4 linked regions of the Drosophila melanogaster genome follow. The protein of the gene in region 4 interacts with the protein of the main gene of each other region in a pairwise test. Each region holds a gene or a part of one and is shown on either strand. Other genes may lie near its edges.

Region 1 (8,073 bases), about 20 Mb from region 4:
CCTACCTAATGGCTATTCGGCAGTTGGACCCCCCATATCTCCGCTTCGAGTTCACAGACCACTTTTTGAAGCTCTTTTTCTTTCCCAAAAAAACTCATTTTGGACCGGAAAAGGTGGTCGGAGAATTTAGAGCGCGTCAATGGGTAAAGTACAATCTTAAAAGTGAGATTGAGGATGACGATGACGAGCAGTTGTCGCGTGAGGATTACCTAGCATTACTCCTTAGCGCCTTAAAAGACTATGACAAGTGGTTAAATCTTGGAGGCTTTTGGAAGTACCTAATGAGTAAGGAGCTCGTGCAGCCGTTGACTGCGAGGATCAGTCCTGTGGGAAGAGTTGTGCGCGAGGCGCCGAAGGTGTTCAGGCTCGATGCGTTGGAGGAGGAGGTACACACCTGGAAGGAGCGCATGAGCACCAAAGTAATTACAGGTCGGGAAAAGGTGAACCTGCCGGTGGCCAGTATCAATATGGCCAAGATGTGTGTGCGCTATGGCGAGGATGTGAGACAAATGAGAGTTTTGCGACAACTCCTTCAAAACGAAGTTTACAAGGAGGTCGATGTGTCGGACTGGTTAACCTATCTGAACAACTTTCTGAGCTATGAAGAGTCCATGTCTCCAGTAGACTCTGCGTCTTCCTCCTTATTGGGAGGCATATGAGGGCCCAAATACGAAAATATATCTAAGGCTCCATTAAATTTAAGGAATTTCATACCGAAAGTTCAAACTTAATTATTTTAAGCCCGTTAATTAGTATTTATCTAAATGGTTTCAAATAAGAATGCATTTGATTCGTTACCGTTTGTCATAAATTCCGTTTCTGTATTTCTCCATTGCAAATATATATTTATGCTGTAACTAAATACACAATTACGTACACATTTACATATAAATACAGCTACTGCGCATGTACATACATACATTAATAAATATATATGTGTATAATTACATAATATTATCGCGATTTGTTTTTAAGCCTTTTGCTTGTTGGTTTTTTTGCAGTTCCTCATCCTTCTGCCATCTCGATTTGCCTAACGTGTCTTGTCTTTGTTCATTGTATGTCTAAATTCTTTGCAGTTTACATTTTACACACTCAACTATCATTAAAGTAGGCGCTTAAATGCTAATCTCACTACGTCATTTTTATATTAAGTATATGCATACGCTGGGGAGGGTTAGAAAAGCTGGGTGCAGAGCTCAGATGTTACAAAGAGCAGAATCCGATCTGCATCAAATATTAAGCATTCATTTTAGAGCGACCTTTCAAATTCTCTAGGGATCTTAGATCCTGGCGAGGATCTGCATTCAGGGCCTTGAAAAACATAGCACGGATTCAAGCGTTGCTCTTATCATTGCTCTACTAGGTTGGGATTTCGGTTTTTTGTTTCTGCTGTCTTGTCTTTAATTTGTTTAACACTACACATTTATCAACATTTATTTAATATTCATTCCATATAGGCTAGGTTTCTTTGAATGTGTCTCCACTTCCCGGCTTGCAATTGATTCGTATACATTTGGGGACATCCGTGTTTGTTGCGCTTTGAATTCTATAGGAACTTGATACAGGAGTCTTTTCGGTTTGACCCTTGCTGCAGTTTTTAAAGGTATTTAAAGGCGACCGGCGTTTGAAACAAAGGACAGTCGGGATGTGAGGAAACCAAGGGTAACATACATAAATTAAAGGGCTAACATAAAAAGTCACATGTTGTATTTTTAGAAAATATTATTTTCTCTTTTAAAAAGGTTTTCGTTTACAATTTAGTTAAACTCTTTCGCTTTCGCTTTATACATACAAATTGGAGTTGGGCTTTGTACAGAACTTGTTGCTTTACTATCTCATAATCGTAATTAGTTATGAATTAATTAGCGTTACTTTGTGTTTACTTCATTAACTAATATTTAAACGAAGGCTAGCGTGACAGCTTTTGTGTTTCCAAATTATGCCAATGCTGAAATTAAAACTACTAAGACTAATCAATTAAAATTAACAAAACGCTGATTTAAAAACTATGGCTCTCTAGGGACTAAGAGCTAATTAGATAGTTTCGACCACTTAACACTATTAGAATATTTTTCTTTGCCGTTTTCTGTTCAGGATATTTTTTTAAGTTTTGCTGACAAGTTTACGAAGTTAAATAATTAAGCTATTGATTTTATAAACAAATTGTATTTGTGTTAGCCCAGACTAAAACACGCCCTTGCAAGATGGCGAAAAACGTCACCAACTTTGAGTTGTACAACAATTTTTCTTAAGCTTTAAATGCTAAATTAAACAACTTAAAAGTGAGTCGGGTCAACAATTTACAATCTGAAACGGGTTGCACTTTGGGAAATATTTTAATTAAGTTCTTCGTACACGTAATGCTTTTTGCCTTTTGGGTTTAGTTTGCTCTTGCTATTAGCAAACTATTTTCACTCTAGTTAGGGTTAGGTTATTTTATAAGTGAGTAGAGAGGGGTTTAATCTATTTCCGGGGCTGAGAGGGTTGTGAATGTGAGATGGGGTGCGCTGCTATAGAGACAACTCTCTGCAAAGGTCTTTCATCTGGTTTTTAGTTTAGCTTTACTATTATTTTAGTATTTTTGTTTCTGTTTTTGTTTACGGTTTGTGTTATTTTTTTGGGAGCTCTGGGTGCTGGTGTCGGCGCCTTTCGTTTACCTACTTTTGAAGCGTTTGCTATACAATCATCTTGGTAAGTTCTTAGTCACACATTTAAACCTTAACAACAACAACAATGTTCGCTACAATTAAACAACTAACAACAACGTAAGCGTACACACCAAACATGGCTCACTTCTGGCTCGATCGCTGCTCCTCTTTCTGCTCCTGAATTTCCACTACATCCGCATCCACTTCCGACTCATGCTCCTGTTCATCCTCTTCATCCGCATTCTCCTCCTTGAGCATGTACTCGAGGAGCAGCTCATCGACTCATCCCTCGCGTTGCGTTTCCGCCGTCGCTGACGTCGTGGCTGTGCCACCATTCGATGGTGACTCCACCTTGATCACTCCAAGCTGCTGCAGTTCCTCTCGTGTGTGCTGGATGCGACCCACCACAACACCGCCCATGGTCACAAAGCTCCCGTCCGCCGTCACAGCGCCCAATTGCATAGCGCTGGATAAGTCCCCTAGAGCGGCCACATTAAAATGATGGTGCGGCGAGCCATCCTGAATGTGCTGATGCTGCTGGTGATGTTGGGCCACTGTCGTGGCGGAGGGCAACGTGGTTATGGTGACTCCACGCTGATCGATATGCTGCTGCTGCTGCTGGGACGGAGGCGGCGGGTGGTGCTGATGCTGCTGCTGTTGATGGTGGTGCTGGTGTTGCTGCTGCTGATGGTGGTGCGCCGCCAACGGCATTCGTCCTAGTCACCCCTCATCCTCCTCTGTTTTGATCTTAACAGGAACGTAGACTTTGTCCATGACGTGTATTTTTATGTGGTTGTTGAGCGTGCTGGACTGTCGGAACTGCTTCTTGCAGATGACACACTCAAAAGGCTTTTCACCTAAAGAATAAGACACAAATCAGTTTCGGTCAAAATTGTATGGTAGCACACTTCATCACTCACCCGTGTGGATCTTCACATGGTTGGCCAGCGTGCTCAGTTGTCGAAAATGCTTGGGACAAAAGTTGCAGTTATAAGGCTTCTCGCCCGTATGGATCTTCAGATGGTTCGTCAGCGTCGACGATTGACGGAAGGTCTTATCACAAACGTTGCATTTGTAGGGCTTCTCGCCAGTATGGATCTTTACATGGTTGGTCAGTGTGCTTAGCTGTCGAAAGCGACGATCGCAGACGGTGCAGTGGAAAGGTTTCTCCGGCTCGCGGACAGCTCCCCCTACGCCAACGGCAGCGTTGCCCTCTCCGGGATGCTCGCTATGTCCATTGGCCAGGTAATGCTCACTGTGGATCGTTGTCGGACTATGCGTGGTCAGGTGCGTCAGATGTGAAGTTGGTGGCGGCGGTTGCTGTTGTTCCGCCGCAGCAGCTTGGGCTGCTGCAGCTTGGGCAGCTGCCATAGCCGCTGCTTGGGCGGCACTATGCGCCTCCGCCGAGATCCCGCTTAAGTGCATCTGGAAGGGCAAGGGGAGTTCCGTGGGTGGCGGCGGCACAGAGGGTGGTCCGCTCGACTGCTGTTGCTGCTGCTGATGATGTTGCTGCTGCTGTTGCTGTTGTTGTTGCTGCTGCTGTTGAACCGCCGCCATGTGAGCCGGATGCGTGGCCTGGGTGACCGTCTCATTGTTATTATTGTTTGCTATGGTGGTTTGGGGCTGGGCGGCCACTATGACAATGTCGCAGTTACTGCTCATCGCCGTAGCAGCGGCATGGGCATGGGGCAGGCTTTTGATATGCATCATGGACTGCTCTTGCTGGGATTAGGTAGTCTGGATTCGGGATTCGAAGCTGGATTTGAATCTGGTGGAATAGTGGAGGGAGACTGCGGTACCTCGGTGACTTGAACAGAAAGCTGGCTAACAAACTAAGATCGATGCTTCAAAAATGCCACGACATGCTCATCTTGGGCGCTTCTCTGATGTTGTTGCTGCTAGTGCCTGTGTTTGGAGAAGGGAGATTGGGATTAGTTGAGTCGGCGGCTTGGCTTTTTGGTATGCAAAAATATGTGAGGAATTCCCAAAACATACGAAATACCTAACTGCGAAATTATAAATCTAAATTATTCAATAGCTGACACACTTTGATAGCTGGGCTCCCGGCTCCAGCTCCACTTCCTCCCCTTGAAGCCCCCTTTCCATATGGTTCCTATGGTTCTTTGTGTGCCCTTATTAGTGAAACGCATTGAAGCCCATTTTGTGTCCTAACTAGCATATTACTCCTTCGTCTCCTTTAGGCAAGCCTCTCTACATAAATAAGTATTTGGAACTACACGGCTTACATATCCATACATGTTTGTAAGGAGGTAACTGGCTTACTTTACGGTGTGAAACTATGTTTTAAATCATTCAGGTATAATGATTAACGTATTAAGCGTTCAAAGCAATATTCTTGCGAGAGTAAATATTTTCGGGCTTTATAACATTTATTAAAGAGCCATACTAATATTAAACTCACAAACAAACTGTGATGAGTAATTTTTAAATAAGATCCATAACGGATGACCGAATCCTTAAAAGATTTTTATGACTTCGATGGTATGAAAACTTCGAATATACGTCAAAGAGCATAAATTATTAAACATACGATTGATTATGCATTTTGAAACAAAATAAAACGCGCGCTGCTTGCATGCATGTAACTTTTAATATATTTTTTGAACGCTGGTTTTTACGTTCGCCGGACAAGTTACCTGACCCGCCCCCTGCTCACCCACCAGACAAGATAGACACTGAGGCCAACACAACACGCACACACATGGAGCACTCAGGTATCTCTCTTTTTGTGTTGAATTGACAGCGTGTTACTTTCTCGCCAAATTACATGTGTTTTTCTGGCAACTTAAGAACTTAGTGATAACTTTACCAATTGGATAACAATCTCAACGGAGGCGAGATCGACAGGATTCCGAACTGACCTTTTTTGGGCGGGCTTTTTGGGGGATATTTTCCCCTTTTTTCAAAAGCAGTTTTTCCACTAACACGTTGCCTCTAGATCGCCCCTCGCGCTCCCTTCTTCAGCTAAAAGTCACAACCACTTTCAGTCGCACACACGTATGGACATCACTAGCGCACACACGTACACGTACTGTGTAAAAGCTCTTTTGAGGTTAGGATACTTTTAATTTTGGAGCTCTCCGCTCGAAAATGTCCATTGTTTTTCACACGTCTATAAACGCTATTTTTGCCAAATGATTCCAGACGGAATTGGGTATACTGAGTGACACACTTGAACTCTTTTCGGGCGCCCACACATTGACCTACCTTTCCATTTTGTGGCTGTGCTGTGTGGGGCCTTTCAGGTTTAGATTTCCCCCGTTTTACATCATTTTTCGCACTCGATTCGGTTTTTTGGGGGATATGGGCCTTTCGGAGGGTGTTCGCGTATTGCTCTCGCCTATCAGAATCGGGTCCTCACAGCATTATCTGTGGCTGGTTCTTCATTTATAAAAAGCGTATAAACGTTAGAAAAATAGTACAAATATTTCTTTTCTTTTTTTTACTGTTTCGCGTACAAAATAGACGCGAATGAACTAGTGCCAATTGGGGATGGGCGATAGCTATGGGGGACCTGTTACTGATCACGAGTGTGAAGGAATCACGATGACTGCCCCGAACTCAATGGGAAAGTTGGTATAAGAGATCAAATTTGGGAAAATTCTCAGATTTATTTAGGCCAGCACATCTTTATAATTATTTTTTTTCCCACCATATTAATATAAAATCATTTTCTAATGTGACTTCTCGTGAATATCGAATTGCCATCTCTATGCTAAATGAGCTAGTTCCACTGAAGTCATTCACATAGGAATATGTAAGTTTTCTTTCGTTTTTGAGAGGTTTTCCTCCCGCCACAGTACGGTCACACTGCCCGGTGCAGAACTTTTGTATAGGAATTTCGTTTGCATTATTTTTTATTAAATTGTACTTAAAGACCAAATGCAATTGCTCAGAAAAGTGCAGGTGCAAGTTTTATAAAATCGTGCAGACCCGCGAAGCCTGCGACTGATCACCATGTGCCTGCCCATTGGTTAAACTCAGCTCGCTGTTAACTTTGTTTGTGTTTTTGTTGTGACTTCCAGCCGGCGGACGCAGTTCATCTATTTGGAAGGTAAGCAGAATTTAGGTAAGTATATACTGAAGGACTATACTGAAAGGTACCTTCGATCCTGACCGCTTTTTCGTTACGGCACGAGAGCCTGTCCATCACCTGCTTCACGAATCCCTTAGCATCTTCCTCCTTCTGCTGGGCCACAGCTTGAATATGGGAATTTGCCCTCAGTTGCATGGCCCGAATGTCATCCTGCATCGCCTTCTTACTGCGCTCCACCACTGCATCTAGAGGGTCTTCAAAGGTAGTGCTTGGCTCGAAGATGTTGCCATTACCATTGCCATGTCCTGCAGAATTGTGGTTTGAGTTTACAGAGGCCGTTGTTCGTTCATCCTCCTCGTTGGAACCCAACGTTGTGGTGGTCTTTGGTGCCCCCTCTTTGAAGGACAAGTCATCCTCGCCGCGAGGTGTGGAACATGGCGTGGTCTGTGGATCAGCCTCCCTCGCCGCTTTTATCTGAAACAATGAGGAGATGTTTTCCTTGGCGCCCAGTACTTCAGTAGAGATCTTGCTGGTCACCGAATCCATAGCCCTGCCCATCGAATCTTTTGTTTCCGAGGCTGCTTTGACCGCATTACTGCCCGCCTGCTCCACTGCATGCATTGCACTACTTCCTACTTGTTCCACTGCGTGCATTGCATCGCTGGCCAACCGATGGGCACCTTTACCCGCCGCTCCTACTGCTCCTCCCACGGTATCCACGGCTCCTCGAGCTCCAGTAGCCATTCGCTCGCCTACAGCTTCCATGGCATCACGAGCTCCATTTGCTGCATTTTTTACCGCTGTTTGAATCGAGTTACGAGTGGAGTCCATGACATCTATCGCGTCTTCGCCGACTTTGGACACCGCCTCCTCAGAGCTCGTCACAATTTTGTCAACTTGCTCCTCACCACGCTGCATTTTTTGCTCTCCATCTGATTCCAGATCCTCCACGGAGCTCTCCAGTGGTGTATCTGGCATTTGTTCCTCTACCCTGGACGTCACATCCACTCCGTCGTTTATGAACCGTATTTCGTTGATCACTTTGCTGCTGTCCGTTGAGTCCTTCGTTGTGGTTATTTCCACGGCCAGGTGCTCATCGTCTTCCGTGGGCGGTGTTGGTGTGTTCACGTGAATTTTGGCCGTAGGTACTTCCTCCACTGTGTCCAGACTAGAGACCAGTTCGGGAGAAGTCCTCTCCAGATGGTCATGGTCCATGGCAGACTCGTATGAAAAGTTTCGTATAGGCGTCTTTTTTATTGTCTGCGGTGTGCTAGAATTACTGCTCTCGGGATAAGGCGTGCGTGGGCGTAAAAGTGTTTCCTGGCTGCCAGGCACTTTCGGCTTGGGATCAACTAATTCCATATCGTG
Region 2 (4,783 bases), 1.1 Mb from region 4:
AGGTCCGTGATATTCTCGATTCGATGCACAAGGACTGCAAGATTCCACTGGCCAAGCTTATGGTAGACGGGGGCATGACTGTGAATAATCTGTTCCTGCAGCTTCAATCCGACCTAGTAGGAATTCAAGTACTCCGGGCGAAGATCGCAGAGACAACAGCGCTGGTTAGTACTTTAACTTGTGATGTAAATGCAGCTTCAATAATGCTTCAAAAATGCTTTAGGGAGCTGCAATGGCAGCCTACAAAGCCGTTGAAAACCGATACCAAATGGAGGCTCCACTCTCTAAATCTGGCCCCCGAGAAGCCATAAAGCCATCGATCAGTGCCACCGATCGCAACCTGCGCTACCAAAAGTGGAAAATGGCTATCGATCGTTCACTGAACTGGGAGACTTCGACGCTTCCACAGGGCGAACGGGAGGCCTTTGACGGAGCGTGATCACAGCTAATGTCTGGTAACGTTCATGTTCTTCTATTCGTAAATCAATTGCTTGGTTTTTCGTATTCGAAATTTCCATTTATTACATATACATATAAAAATGTTAATTAAAAACGTAAAGTGTTTTTCTGTGCGCTGTGATGCTCTGGCAGTGTGTTCCGACTACCAGCCGGTCAGTTGATCTACATATTTTCATCAACTATTCCGACGGCAACAGCGATCGCTGCCTGGTCCAACTCGTTGAGCATTACAACGCCCCCGGCCGCCTCGTCGACGGCTACCACGACTGCTGGACCAGCCACGCCTATAGCTGCGGGTGCGACGGCCATACCGGCAGCGAGCTCAGCGTTATTGGGATGCGGATTAGCCACTGCTATAGGGGGAATCGGATTTCCACCTGAAAACGAATTTGGGCTTTAAGGGAGCTGTTACTCTCCGTTTCGAGCCTTACGCACTTGCGTCCAATTCCAGTGGCGGATCTGCATTTGCTTCCGCTAGATTCGTTACAGACTTGGATTTTACACATTGGAAATCAACATGGCGACTCTTTGCTTCCTCCTTCTCCCAGGACATGTGGATGAAAGGTCGCTGCACATAGCTGTAGATGACTTCAGCCCGTCCACCGGGACGCCTTCGGATCTTCTCTTTGTGGGTGGGGTATCCCTCTATGCCACAGCGTATCTTCTTCAGACCGCGATCCTTCATCACCTGTTTGGCCACATCGCGGTTCTCGATGTACTTGAAGAATCGGTGCATGGCAGTGCTGTGCACGGCTGCGTTAGAAATGTTAGTGTTGCTTCCACTTCCGTGATACTAATGCAAACACATTTTTTAAATACACTCACTCTGACAATACTCCTCGCCCATCTGAGGCGGAAACTCTTCATCCCACTCGACCATATCGTCTTCAAGGAGCACCACAACGTGACACTCTCGATCCCCGCGCTGCGCCGAGGCCACCATGAGGGGCAGAATTAGGTCCTCAAGAAAGAGTTCAAATTGTTGTCGCGCTCCTTCGTTGCTAAGCTCGTGGAGAAGGCCTCCTTTATGTCAAACATAACAGAGGGCATGTTACAAGGAAAGAGACGGAAAACAAGCAGAGGTGGCCACAACTAAGGTTCGCCCTGGCAGGAATAGTTCGCGTTATACTCACTTAGGTTCTGGCAGCGCACCGTGGTTGCGTCGAAGGGAATGAGCAGATAATCACAGGCTTCTTTTAGTTCCGGTACCGAAACAGTGGGCGGGCAGCGGATAACACCGCTTTTGTAGTACTCCAGAATGGCTCTGAACACTAAGTGCGAAATGCCGTCGGCAACGTCGTACTCGCCGCGCTCGTTGGTATGAGCGAACTGGAAGCCGGAGCCGAACATCGTGCCAAGCATTGTGGTGGGATGTGCTGTAAGCAGTGATTGCTCCACCGTGAAGCGCACACCGTCCACCAGCATGGTGATCCTTTCGGGAGGGAGCGGCAGGCGGCCCATTCCGGAACCAGTTGCCTGGCAGCTGGGAGATGCTCCGCAAGGGGATTTTATGTCGTGCTTGGGCACAGCACCTCCGCCTGACATATTGTGCTGCGGACGGTTCAGCCGGCTGCGCTCCTTCAGGATGCGCCTCCTCCGCTCCTCGGCTGTTTCGAGAACTTCCTCGCTGCTGTCGCTACTGTACGTGTCCTGCTTCTGGGCAAGGGGCGCCTTGCTACTGATATTGCTACTACTACTGTTCAGACTTGGAGTGTTTGACATGTTTGTTGCGTTTGATGAGCCACTCTTCAAATATTCCAGTACAACACCGTTCCACCGACTTTTCGAGAGAGACAAAGACAATCTGGCAGAGGGCGGTCAAATTAGCGAGGCTCCGTTGAAAAAAAGCCTGCTTATCGCTGCATCAGAGGTCCGATTAAATAGTATTCACGTTACCTTTGTGCGACGCGACTTTTTCCTTTTTACATATAGTTATAAATATACATATTTTTTCTTGTTGGTGCTGGAGATGGGCTCCTGGGTGCGCTCAGTCGATAGTTTTCCTCTGTAATCACAATAACATATTTTTAACCGATATTTATCTTCAATCGCGATGTTTGTTTTCAGCTTATCGGGTTTTTTTTAACGAATAAAAAATTCCTCTCTAAAAAAATAAAAAGATTGTAATTTCATCATTTCGACATTGTTTGTTACATAATTATTAACTTCTATTAAGTTAAGAAAATCTATAATATTTAGAGGTAATAATAAGAAAATTCTTAATTAACATATCTTAACTTAATGGAAATAACTTTTTTTTTCAAATACAAATTAATATGAAAATTCTGTGGAAATTAATTAAATGTTGTTAAAACAAAATACAGCGTTGGGCCGAATGCAACTCTGTATATACCCAAGCTGTGTATCGATACCGACCACCGACTAAATGCACTCGATAGTTTAAATTTGCAACCGTTCATCATGGCGATCTGAGAAAAATAATTTTTGCTCAAAAATAAAATAAATAATCAAAAGAATTGTAATTCCTGCGAACGCAAATGCGATTTTGGGAAACGTGAGTTTGATACGGACGCTTCACGAAATGCGAAGACTGTGAGCGGTCTTCGGTCAGTAACAAGTGCTTGGCGTGTGTGTCTGCGGCGGCAAAAAACCCAAATGTAAAATATATAACAAAATCCCAACTCCCCCAAGAATGGGCAGTGCGAAAGTGGCGCCCTGAGTGGGCGTGTCGCGTGCGGAAGCGCTAGCGACGAGCAGAGTGGCTGTCTAGGTTTGCGGATAGCAATAACAAATAAGTTGTTATAATAAAAGTGTAAAAAAAAGTGCAAAAACTTTGATTGCTTCTGAGTAGTGAAGTGTCGGAGGGGTATGCTGGGTGCCGTGTATAAGCTGGCGGATGCAACACGAACGCCACCTGCTTGCCTCCTGCTTGCACTCACGCGCATAGTAAGCGCGCCCTTAAACGAGCGTGCTATGTGCGAGCGGGAGGGCGCCTGTGGGTTTTGCACCAGTCACCTATTGGCAGCTTGAACGTTTTTCTATATTTTTTGTGTATTTTCGGAAAGCATAGAAAATGTGGACACTTACTGGGAACGCTCCTAATATAAGCGAATAACCCACAAACATATGCCTTCTCTCCCACCAGACTAGCGAATGCTCGTCGAGAATCCAAACCAGTGAGCCAAACGCCAAAGAAAAACTTGCAAAAGTCTGTGGATAAACAACGAACAATAACAAAAGGCAGCAAGCGGAAGGTGGCAGTGGAAGTGGACTAACTCGCCCGTGGAGAAGTGCGGAGCACACAGGACTGCAAAGTGGCGTCGCTACTGGATATTAGGGCTGGGGCAGCAGCGGCGTCCATGTCCACGGGGCACAAAGGGTGGACCACCAAGAATCACGACCGCACCACATCCAGGAGAGCGCAGCAGCAGCAGCCGGTGTGGTGTCGCCAACTGTGGCCTTAAGCATGTAGTAAGTAAATTTGGTTAGTAAATAAATCGCGTGAAATACGTATTGAAGCTGCTTTTGCCTTCTTACTTCTAGGTCTTGCAGCAAAGAACCCGTTCTCTAACAAGCACAAGACACAAGGGACAAGGTACCAATCGAAGCAAAAACACACAAATATCCAATCAACACCAATGAAAAATGTCACAAAGAGGTAAGCGCGGTAATCAGCAGCATCACCAGTCGCACCATCCGCCGCCGCAACAGCATCAGCGCAAGGATGTTGAGCCGCAGCCGCCGCCCACCAAGCGGCGCAAAGGTAGGCCACCTAATGGAGCCACTACGGCAGCAGTAGCTGAAGTGACTGGATCGGGTCCAGCTACAGGATCGGAGCGTGTGCCAGTTCTGCCTTTGTGCAAAAGCAAACATGAAGAGCCAGGGGCGGAAGCGGGGGGAGGAGGACAAGGAAGAGCCGCGGCAGGCGCTACCAGCACTAGCAAATCGAAGTCAACGAAACTGGCAAAGTCGGCAAGCAAGTGCAAGTCGCAGGGGGCGAGTTCTAGTAGCTCCTGGCAGGCGCGGTCTGTAGCGGACATCAAGATGTCGAGCATCTACAATCGAAGCTCAACGGAAGCTCCAGCTGAACTTTACCGGTATTAACAGACCAGCAAACCAATTAGAAACGATTCAATAATATTCAAATTTTAATTGCAGCAAGGATCTCATTAGCGCAATGAAATTGCCAGACTCTGAGCCGTTGGCCAACTACGAGTATTTAATAGTAACAGACCCATGGAAGCAGGAATGGGAAAAGGGTGTGCAAGTGCCCGTTAACCCAGACTCCCTTCCTGAGCCATGCGTCTATGTTCTGCCCGAGCCTGTTGTGTCTCCAGCGCACGACTTTAAGCTGTAAGTTAAT
Region 3 (5,001 bases), on a different chromosome or scaffold from region 4:
CGCGAGGCCAACTGCCCGGTGTGCTTCTGTTCCCGTGTTCCGCCGAGTCCTTTTCGGGGATATGTCGGTTATCCTCCATTGTGTCAGCTGCATTCACTTCTAATTATTTGACGCGACATTTGCAGTTTGCAGTTTTACGATCCCATACCGAGCATCGAACATCGCGGCAATCAATGAATTTATTTTTTACAGATTTAGAGAGGATTTCTGGAATCTCGGGATTACTCAATCGGCGCGAGCTTAGCGTTCTTTTTAGGGATTACAATTGGGAGTAGCTGTGTGGTATCGAAATTCTTGCGAAAAATTAATAAGAATGGTGTTAGCTGACCTGGAATTTGTGAGGCAGGAATATGTTTAACCAACTATACCTTATTCCAATGAATATATTATATTCCTTTGTGTAAGGAAAAATTATAGTCAGATAGTTTGAAAATAATTGGACAATGATTTCACATTCTAATCTTAGGGTATATTACATGTATAGTTTTATAATTAATGCCACAATATGAATATTTGGAATTTGTTATATTGCCAATATATTATAATAATTAGGCGCGTTTGCAATCTTATGATCACACGCGTGTCTGTCATAAATTATAAATAAATCAATTTATTTATTATTATTCAAATTGCGTTCAATTATTAGTTTTTATGTTAGTGAGGAGGTTTTGTAAATGGGTTTATTGATATTATTAATTCTTTACCGTATTGGGCCAATTTTGCCTTTTGCTTCACGAAATGGGTAACACTTTTGCTAAAGTCGTTATGAAATAATAATCGATATTTCAATTCCACCCATTTGTTAAACTTCCAGCGAAGTTTGATCGAAAATAAGTTCTCATGGGAATTTAAATTGATTAGTCATATTTTTGGTAATGAAGCTGGAAACTTTCGATTTACATTAAATGATAGATCCGTCAAAAGATCACCTCATTTTTAGTACCATCTTTTTTTTTTACATAAGCCCCTTGTATCACATCTTGCACCTTATCAATGCCAGACTTCTTCCGCTATATTTGAGTTCCCTGCGAATTTTTATCGCTGCTTACATGTCAATTATGGCATTAGCTTTACAACTAGAACCGAACAATAGTGCTTTGACAATATCGAGGCGCCCATATAAACAGCGATTGCTTGGCAAACACCAAAAGTCTGGACATCAAGTGTGTGCAGATCAAACACGGTATATGGATATGGAGAATAAAATCCGGAGGATAAAACATTGATTATTCCCCAGATAGAGGTACATATATCGCGACTATTACGACCGTGGCAACATAATTTTACAGCCACTAATTGCATAATACACACGCATCTCCGCAATTACTTAATTAGCCAACGGCAATTGCAATTAAAGTACATACAAATCGAAAGCGGGCCATAAAGGAAAAGGGGTTTTCTTGGCCAAGATATTACGACAAACTGCATACCTGGCTCAATGGGGCGTGGCCACCTGCCTGCCAGCCATCGCAGACCGGTGCGAAAGAGACGGAGCACCAGACAGACGGAGATAGCGGTAGTCAAGCACTCAGGCCATCTTGAATTTCGACCGAGCAACGGAAATGAGGGTTAAAAACGCCCAAGTAAAGGCACTGCTCGTGCGCTAGAAAGAGACAACTAGTGAGTGCCGACTGCGGTGGTTGTTTTTTTTGAGCCTCTCTGCCTGTTTATCTGATTTTCCACTGCTTTGAGTTTTTTATCAGTCGAGTCTTGCTCTACGTTTCAGTACGTGTTCGACCTGCATACTGAGTTGACGTCGCCACGCACGGAATAACATTTCAAATTAGTAGATTAGCCCTGCAAAACAAAAATCCATCTCGTGAGTGAGTGCTGAAAAATAGCGTTTCGAAATATTATCGATATCTCGGTCGTATGTTACTGTGCTCCCAAAAAACACATCACCAGCCAGTGATAACTGTAAAGATTGACAAAGCAAAATATATCCATTATAACCCAAACTGAAACTCCAGAAAATGTGCAACTAAAACATATTGGCCATCAAAGTGATAAGACTTAGAGATTAACGCCGGATTATTGGACACCGGACCGAGCACTGGGACTATCTTCGGAGAAAGCGCACCTAATCTAACCTCAAAATGGTTTCGCACTACTACAACACACTGCCCTACACACAAAAGCACAGTGCCGCCAATTTGGCCTATGCCTCAGCGGCGGGCCAGCCATGGAACTGGACGCCCAACTACCACCACACGCCGCCGAACCACCAGTTCCTGGGCGATGTGGACTCCTCGCATGCCGCCCACCACGCGGCCGCTGCCCACCAGATGTACTACAACTCCCATCACATGTTCCACTCGGCGGCGGCGGCCTCTGCCGGGGAGTGGCACTCACCCGCCTCGAGCACGGCGGATAACTTCGTTCAGAATGTGCCCACGTCGGCCCACCAGCTGATGCAGCAGCACCACCATCATCACGCCCATGCCTCCAGCAGTTCCGCCAGTTCCGGGAGCAGCAGTAGCGGTGGTGCACCGGGTGCGCCCCAGCTCAACGAGACCAACAGCAGCATCGGCGTCGGAGGAGCAGGCGGTGGCGGTGGTGTTGGCGGGGCCACCGATGGAGGACCAGGTTCCGCACCACCCAACCATCAGCAGCACATCGCCGAAGGTCTGCCGTCGCCACCGATTACCGTTTCGGGCTCGGAAATCTCTAGCCCGGGGGCGCCGACTTCTGCCTCGTCGCCGCATCATCACTTGGCACACCATTTGAGTGCCGTCGCCAACAACAACAACAACAACAACAACAACAACAATAGCCCATCCACCCATAACAACAACAACAATAACAATTCGGTGAGCAACAACAACAGGACATCGCCATCGAAGCCGCCATACTTCGACTGGATGAAGAAGCCCGCCTATCCAGCACAACCACAACCAGGTGAGTCCTTAGAGACCCAAGAATATATTAAATACAGATTTAGTGTTTTATGAGGGGGTATGATCGGTTACTTCATAACTTTATGAGTAAGGCTAATAACCTGCTTTTACTGCAAAGTTAAGGTCTATGCTTGCCATTGTCACTAGCTTGTATGAGTTTTTTTTTTTTAATCGAATGTGAAATAAGATCTTACTCACCGAAGGCTTTTAGTCCGAAAGACCTCGATTACCCGAATTTTTGTGTATTCAGCTACTTAGTCATTCCACTGACCTTCGATTCCGCGTACCCTGCGCTTGGGTTTCTCCCGCATCCGCCTGGCTACATTCCGAACCCGAAGATTCCATATTGCCCAGCACATAATGCACTGCATTGTCTTCCCGCCAAGCTCGTGCTGTTCGCGCTTTTCCCTGTCCATCTCTCACGGTACATATATGGGCTTTTATAAGAATCCGTTTGCCTGGCGCGCATCCAAGTCCAAATGGCCAATTAGCTCATAAAAATCAAATTCTGTTCAAGCTTCACTTTTATGATATTCAGTTGGGGTCGCGAGATCCCCGATCCGACGCCTTGATTTATGGCCACCCCGTGTTCACCGTCCACATGAGTGTTTCTGTTTGTTTGCTCCACTCTGTCTCCGTCTCGATTCCGATTCCATTGACTAATTTTGTATCGTAAATCAACTTAACAACTATAAGCATTTGAAAATGGTTTGATCAACTTACCAATAACCAGACAGCATTTGATGGAAAGTCCATCAGAGTAGAGGACTGGACTGTAAAGGCTTAGGAAAGTTAGGGAGTTCGGAACCTATTTCACAGCAATTAGCATTATGTGGAGTGTCTAATTGAAGGTTTCACTATTTTCTAAAAATAGTGAATATTCTGAATAATAAGTGAATAATACCCAATTCGACTCTCTTCTCTCAGTTCATGCAAATTTTCTGTGATTATGTGGATTTCTTGCGTTTTGTTTGCTGTGTTTTCCTACACCTCTGGAAAAACAAGCAAAGGCAATTCAGATGGCAGTGCAGCGATCTCAAACATGAGAAGGAATAAACCACTCACACATTTGTTCACGATTTATGACCCGGGCGCATGTCAAGAAGGGGAAAATGAAGACGACGATATCGACGATATCGACAATAACGCCGATATCCATTAAGCCCATAAAATCTGTTGGCATGCAATTAGCGTTTATGGCCGCTAATCCAGCTGATCAAGCCGACAAGGCGACTCAAGTTTGCCTTATTTATTATTATTCAAAACCCCCTTTAGCCTCCGCTGTCTGAATGTCACCTTTCTGACGCGCGACTGATTGTAATTCTTGCCGTATTTCATTTGCCTAAAAAGCACAAATATTTAAGTAAGAATAAATATTATATAAAAATAAAGTTAGATATTATTTACAGCCACTATGAGCGATCAGCAGCACCTTTTGCCAACACTTTGCTCAGGTATTATCTCTCTGGCATTTTCTTTGAATTGATGGTCTCGCCAAATCGAGTAATAATTAGTAATCTGCCTTTTCCAACAGAAGAGAAGAGGGGGGCTGTGACTAACACTTCGTGATTTTTGATAGAATTATAAAAGGTCCATTTTCCGTTGTCTGCGCGGCATGTGGCGGCATGTGGCGGCAGGGCACGTCGAAGGCCCACTTCAGCTTTCGGGGTGTGGCAATAAAACGGCAACCACGATTGTCGCTGGATGCAGATGCCGTGTACTTTTGTTTCAATGGCTGGTGGTTCGGGCGGGTTTTTCGATTAGATTAGCTAGCGTGGGGAATCAAATAAACGCCCGCCCTGTCAATAAGTCCTGAAAACCCCACCCAACCCATGGGGCTGCGAGTTCTATTTTCTGTTGCTTCAATAATGTGCCGAGTGATATGGAAACGTGGCCACAAAAAAAAAAAAAAAAAGAGTTCTTTGCGTGTTATCTAAAACGTCAAAAGCGTTGTTGATAAGCGATTCCGCTGCGTTTGCGACGGGCATATTGATTAAAACAATATAGGGTCGTAAACCAATAAAAATTAGTATTACTTCCAATAAAAACTAAATAGCGACATTTACGATCAAATCTATGCAATCATTATTAAACGGCAAGAAAT
Region 4 (5,740 bases):
ACGAGGACAAACAGCTGGCGGCAAAGAAACGAAGGTCATTACTCACATATATTGCCGCTGGTGTTGTGGTGGGCGTGATCTGCGCCTACGCATACACGAAGCTAGGTTAAGTGCCCCGTAGCCACTAAGTAGTCGTAGATCAGTAGTAGCAATAGCTGTATGACGTATTTAGTTGCCGTAGGAGACCGATTCCTCCCCTGATACCCGATTTCCGACTTCCGATCCCCACCTGCTCGTCCGCCTGACCCGGCATCTAATGCGGGCAACGAATCAAGGACGACGTGCAACGGATCGGAAAGGATCAGAGATCGGACGGAATCGCATCGCAACGCCATGCAATCGCACACGAATTGCGGATGGCGGATTGATTGAGCTGAACGAACGATACAAGATGCATAAATATTAGGGAATTTTTTATATACGAAATACAAGAAGGAAAACAAAAGAAACAAATGAAAGAAAAGAAGCAACTAAACTAAACTAACGAAAATCGGGTAGAAATCACGTCAAATGTAGATTTTGCGCAATAGACTGACATTTTAGATCAAATTTATTTTCTACACTCTAAAAATGGATTGATAACCGACCAGATGCCCCAAACGAGCCATACCAAATGCAAAGCTCACCCTACTTGCTCGCTATGCTTAAAATATTAAGAATATCATAACTACCAATGTTTCAAGCACCCGACAACCACCCACTACACGCTTCACTTGTTGTTGTACAGCAATTTCTTATAGCATACGACCTATGTATATTTATTTATGAAGATTATGAGAAACCACCACTTGTTGTAGTACATGGCAAAATATAAAGTGCAGCAATGTGCCAAAAAGAACCGAATCGGAGAATTGTACGAAGTGTCCTAAACGACTCTTAATTTTACTTTGCCTCCCGCCTACCACTACCACTAACTTTGAATTGTTGTGTTTAAAATTAAAGACCCTGTCCCCCCTTAAACGAGCACTTTATTAATGAATCGAAATTCAGCGCCATTAAAGCAATAACTTACGGTTAAACAAAACAGCTCGATGTACACCTATATCTCGTTTAACGCTTTTAAGGAGTGTTATAATCAAAATTGTTCATTTCGCACACTCGCCCCCGATCGATCTGAAATCAAAATAAAGTGATTCTTTTTTCAAATTGTGACCGTGGACTAGTTGCACGTGGCTAGTTGCAAATCAAATTAAACTAAAATCGGTTTACTAAGTCGCTAAGCGAAGTATAGGTGTATGATTTAATTATAATCCAGGTTTTGCCATAGCGAAACCATTTTGTATTAGAACGAGAGAACGAAGAAGGCGAAAGACTATTCAATGGTTTTTCCAGTAGAGTAAGTGTGCAGTCCCAATCCCAAGAAACATATTTATATAAACGTGTAGCGTGAGAGGACGCAAATATTTTTTATATGTGTAACCCACACTTTAACAAAATTCAAGTAACCACCCCCGAAAGCGAGGCACTATGAATCCATATGAAATCGGATGGGCCCAGGAGGATAACAAATAAAGGAAATACATATTTATATTAAGTATATTTAACAGAAACAACATGAACAATACCTAGTAATGCCTAGTTAACTAAACGTCGGCTAAGTACACCAACCGTACACTGAAACAAATCCAACACAACACAGTACTATACAATATTATGCCTATGAGAGAAAGAGAAAGGAGGAGCAGAGAAAGTATTCAAATAAAGCTATACGTTTAAGACATGAAAACTGCGAACCGCTTGATCCTGGCGCATTCCCTTGCCATGTCCTTGTCATTCATAACATTTTTCATCTCTTTGTTTGCAGGCGCGGGAACCGACTCAAAAAATCCAAGACAAAGTAACGGCACAGCCCATCCAGGTCAGCACCAACACAAAGAAACAAACTAAACATATCATTTTGCATTACTGTAGCTTCTAATGCCTAAATAAACTATTTTTAAATTGGAAACCAAGTTCAGAGTTATCGATTATATATCGACACGCAAAGCTGTTGCATAACGCGACGTGAGCATTAACAGAATGTTAATGTAACTTAGTGTGACCGGAATGCGCAATATACTGCTTTGGTAATATTTTTTAAAGTTGCTACTGCCATTATAGGTAGTTTAAAAACTGTTTTCTACACTCTTTCTAAATTTGATGCAAAAATTATTAAGATTAAGATTCGTTCTGCGAACGTTCTGCAGTTGCTTCTTTTAACGTGCAACCATAATATATAAGCACACTATGTGGTATATTTTGGTGACTCGGTCTGGCAGCACTGCAGTTGATTAACATAGATAGCAGTGTTTGGTAACTGTAGCCCCGCAAAAAAAAAAACGTGCGCACGTTGTTTGATTTCTGTTTTTGTTTTTGCTGGAAAACTTAGTGAAAATATGACCAAGGTGCAAAAAGAGGTGCGATGCGACCATTGCGGCACAAGCCAAGGGTCCAAGAGTGTTTTTTCAGGTCAGAAGGTGTTCCTGGGCAGGAAAATAACAGACGTACTGGAGACCATCACCCACAGAAGCGTGAGTTGGAAATGGCGGCATTCTGATTTCCCTTCTCGTCATCTAAATCATCCCATCCCATTTCAGATCCCATCATCCTTGCCCATCAAGATATGCTTCGTCTGCACCTCCACATTCATGTCCAGCGCGGCACTAATCGAGAAGGTCCGCGAGACGGTGGACAGGGTACAGGAGCAGCCCGCCAAGAAGACTAAGGTAGCGGAAATAGAGGAGCCATCGACACAGGAAAGCGATAAGAAGGCGGTTAAGGTGCCAAAAAAGAACACCACCCTCCGTCAGCGCAGCAAGTCCATAGCAGCTTTCCCGCCAAGCTTTGTGAATGGAGCTAATACTAATACAGAAATCGAGATCATTAGTGCTTCGCCCAAGAAACTCGATAAGACCCCTAAAAAGCAGATATCTCGACTCTTCGAGGATAATCTTAACGATTCGGTTAAGCTGACGCCCGCCAAAGAGGTGTCGTCTACTAAAAAGGCTTTCCTTAATCTCTTTGGCAACGGCGGCAACGATGCCATCGAAGTACTGACCGAGAGCGAGGAAGAGGAGGACTCGGATAAAGGTCCTATCACCATTAACACAAATAACTTTCAGTGTCCAGAGTGCGAATTTCACGCAAAGTTTCCCAAACCGTACAAGGAGCATCTGCAGAAGGAGCACGGTCTTCAAAGACCACGCATATACCCCTGTACCTTGTGTATTAAGACTTTTGGAGTGCTTAAGACTTTGAAAAATCATTTAAGGGACACTCACTCACGCACTTTTGAAAGCGAGGCTAAGACTAAGGCGAAGGAAAGCAAGGAAAAAGAGGCTAAGTCAGGGGCCAAGAATAAAATTGACGCAAAGGCAAAGGAGACCAATGCTGTGAGTCAAAGGAAGAAGCCAAAAGAAAAAAAGTCCAAAGAGAAAAAGACAGAGATCAAATGTAATGTTGAAACCAAAGTGGTTGACGAAATCGACGACCAAGTGAACAACAAAAAGGGCACAGATAGTGAGGACGCAGACCAGACCCAGGCTACCAAAATCGCCTCCTTTAAAGCGCTAAATGAGTCATTAATGAAGAAAAGGATGTTAGAGAACGTGATCGACTCGGAATATACATTTGCCATCAATGGATCCAGCGCCTCCACTCCCAGGGCGGATTCGAATAATTTTCAGTGCGAGATCTGCGACTGTGAGCTGATGACCGCCAAGCAGATGCAGGAGCACATGAAGACCGTCCACAGCATCGACAAGCCAAAGGTTTTCAAGTGCCACGTCTGCGAGAAGAGTTTGGCTACCAAACAGTCGCTGAAAACGCACATGACTCTACATGCCGACGGTGCTGAAGCGCCGAACTCCAGCAAGCGAAAGATTCTGCAGGACGAGGATGAGGACGTAGACATTCTGGGTACGACTCAGATTGAAAACACGGCCGAGAAGGTTGAAGGACCTAAGAAATCACAACAAAGCCCTACTAAAGCCGCAAAGTTCACCAACCGAAAGATTCTGCAAGAAGAGGATGAGGTTGTGGAAATTGTGGACGCTTTTAAGACTGACAACACCGCGGAGGATGATGAAGGACCCGCAGAAGAAAAGATTATACGATCCAGGAACAACATTCAGCACCAGGTCGATGGAGGCATGATTGCACCTCGGTCGCCAGCTAAAAAGACAAAGAAGACCAGTCACGTAGATCTGTCTGTGTCCACAACCAATGGCAATTCGCCTGCAAAGTCAGAAAAACGAAAAAAACAAGACAAATCTGAGGACACGCTCCCCTCATCTGATGTAGACATAGTGGAAGAAATCAACTACAACGTGCGGCCGCACAAAAAGGCTCGCCTGGAGTCCATTGGTGACTCAACAGCCGACGAGTCGACCCTCAGCTGCGACCGGTGCGGGAAGTTCGTCAAATCGCGTCAACGCTTGGACTCGCACATGGAGAAAAAGCACGCCGCCAAACTACAGTGCACCCTATGCAAGGAAGTCTACCAGAACCAAATGGATTACGTGGCTCACTTCTCGAACTGTGGTTCCGAAGGTGGACTTCCATGCGGCGTAGCCAATTGCAAGAAGGTCTTCACGGAGGCCAACTTCCTATCCTCGCACCTGCGCAAGCGCCACTAGTTGCACTAGACTCCCTTTTATTTTTGTTTTTCATTTCATTCTCTTGACCAATGTAGTTTTACGTTAGCTTATTGCTATGTTAAGTATAATTCTTTGAATTTTCAATGGCTAACTTTGAAAGGGTCTATATAAAGTTGATAAAAGTCGATGAAAACTGCAATTTATAACAAGGTTACTTCATACATTTTTAACTATTATTAAGTTCAATTCAAAAGATAAGTTTAATTTGTATATTAAGACTTTATTATAACCGCATTGGTTACACCACTTGTACTCACCAAGAGTATATAAATTAGCTTGAATGTAATAAACATATTTGTACTGAGCGATGAACTGTTAATAAAAAATGGCAAAAAGCTACGAAATTGCTTGTTTCAATCAGTGGAGAGAAAAAATGACACAATATGAGTTCACTTATACATTTATTTGTCATATTCCCGAAACAAAAACAAAACTAAAATAACGTTTACGCGGAAACCAACCATTAACGATGCATTCGCCGGGGAGAGCAGAAGGATTGAATACAATACCGATGTTAAATCAGGGGAAGCATGAGTTCTCCACGGGAGTTCAACAACGAGGCGGAAATGAAAAACATTTTGTCTAGTTACACTTTTCTACTTAATGTAAACGATGATATTGATGACGGGCTCAAGACGACGCCACTTTGCCGTGAATCTCTGCCTGGGCCACCTTCATCACGTCGAGGGCGCCGCGCTTGATCAGGTCCTCCGCCAGCGTCTTGCCCAGCTGGTTGGCCTTCTCGTAGATGCCCCGACTGTGACAGGCGTGCTGGTAGAGACCGCAGAACAGGTTTTCCACATCCTCAATGAGCACCGAGTGCTGCGGCGTCGGCTGCTCCTCGTCGGCGTAGTCGAACATTTGGACCGTTTTCTGCAGGAACGGGCACTTGGCTGTGGCTGCGTTTCCGTTGTCCTTAGCCGGCGCCTCAAGACCGCTGCCCTGATGCATGGCCGCAAAGGGACACTTGGAGGAAGTTGCAACATTATCCACTTCATCGCCAGCGCTGCTGGCATTACTGGCTCTGCTGCTCGGTGGCGTGGGCAAAATAGAAGCTGATGCTCCTGCCACACCGCCAGTCACTGGACACTTTCCAGCTTGGG

What was found.
Region 1: the proteins of indra (region 4) and Aef1 interact in a two-hybrid assay, tested with the Drosophila melanogaster proteins (one large-scale study listed by BioGRID).
Region 2: the proteins of indra (region 4) and mri interact in a two-hybrid assay, tested with the Drosophila melanogaster proteins (one large-scale study listed by BioGRID).
Region 3: the proteins of indra (region 4) and cad interact in a two-hybrid assay, tested with the Drosophila melanogaster proteins (one large-scale study listed by BioGRID).

Annotation. Positions count from the first base shown.
Region 1 is NT_037436.4:21,431,505-21,439,577, reverse strand, and holds Aef1 (adult enhancer factor 1), read right to left. Parts: upstream 6,151-8,073; 5' UTR 5,877-6,150; intron 5,706-5,876; exon of another isoform or gene 5,531-5,705; intron 4,554-5,530; 5' UTR 4,359-4,553; coding exon 3,569-4,358; intron 3,506-3,568; coding exon 3,369-3,505; coding exon of another isoform or gene 2,931-3,368; 3' UTR 939-2,930; downstream 1-938. Other genes in the region: CG5664 (uncharacterized protein), read left to right, coding at 1-659; CG33288 (uncharacterized protein), read right to left, coding at 6,585-6,712, 6,774-8,073. UniProt on the Drosophila melanogaster protein: Transcriptional repressor that binds specifically to fat body-specific enhancers, namely the adult ADH enhancer (AAE) and the enhancer that controls yolk protein gene expression.
Region 2 is NT_037436.4:197,870-202,652, reverse strand, and holds mri (mrityu), read right to left. Parts: upstream 2,480-4,783; 5' UTR 2,182-2,479; coding exon 1,593-2,181; intron 1,483-1,592; coding exon 1,285-1,482; intron 1,213-1,284; coding exon 895-1,212; intron 837-894; coding exon 622-836; 3' UTR 501-621; downstream 1-500. Other genes in the region: Gk1 (glycerol kinase 1), read left to right, coding at 1-164, 224-439; rno (rhinoceros), read left to right, coding at 4,066-4,517, 4,579-4,773.
Region 3 is NT_033779.5:20,769,012-20,774,012, forward strand, and holds the start of cad (caudal), read left to right. Parts: upstream 1-1,719; 5' UTR 1,720-2,096; coding exon 2,097-2,898; intron 2,899-5,001. UniProt on the Drosophila melanogaster protein: Caudal (cad) is one of a number of transcription factors controlling segmentation of the embryo.
Region 4 is NT_037436.4:1,338,698-1,344,437, reverse strand, and holds indra (indra), read left to right. Parts: upstream 1-2,034; 5' UTR 2,035-2,046; coding exon 2,047-2,066; exon of another isoform or gene 2,067-2,368; coding exon 2,369-2,510; intron 2,511-2,576; coding exon 2,577-4,616; 3' UTR 4,617-4,978; downstream 4,979-5,740. Other genes in the region: Ptp61F (protein tyrosine phosphatase 61F), read left to right, coding at 1-110; Hmbs (hydroxymethylbilane synthase), read right to left, coding at 5,268-5,740. UniProt on the Drosophila melanogaster protein: Required for rDNA copy number maintenance and non-random sister chromatid segregation (NRSS) following unequal sister chromatid exchange. Binds ribosomal DNA (rDNA) preferentially binding to intergenic spacers (IGS) regions on both X and Y chromosomes.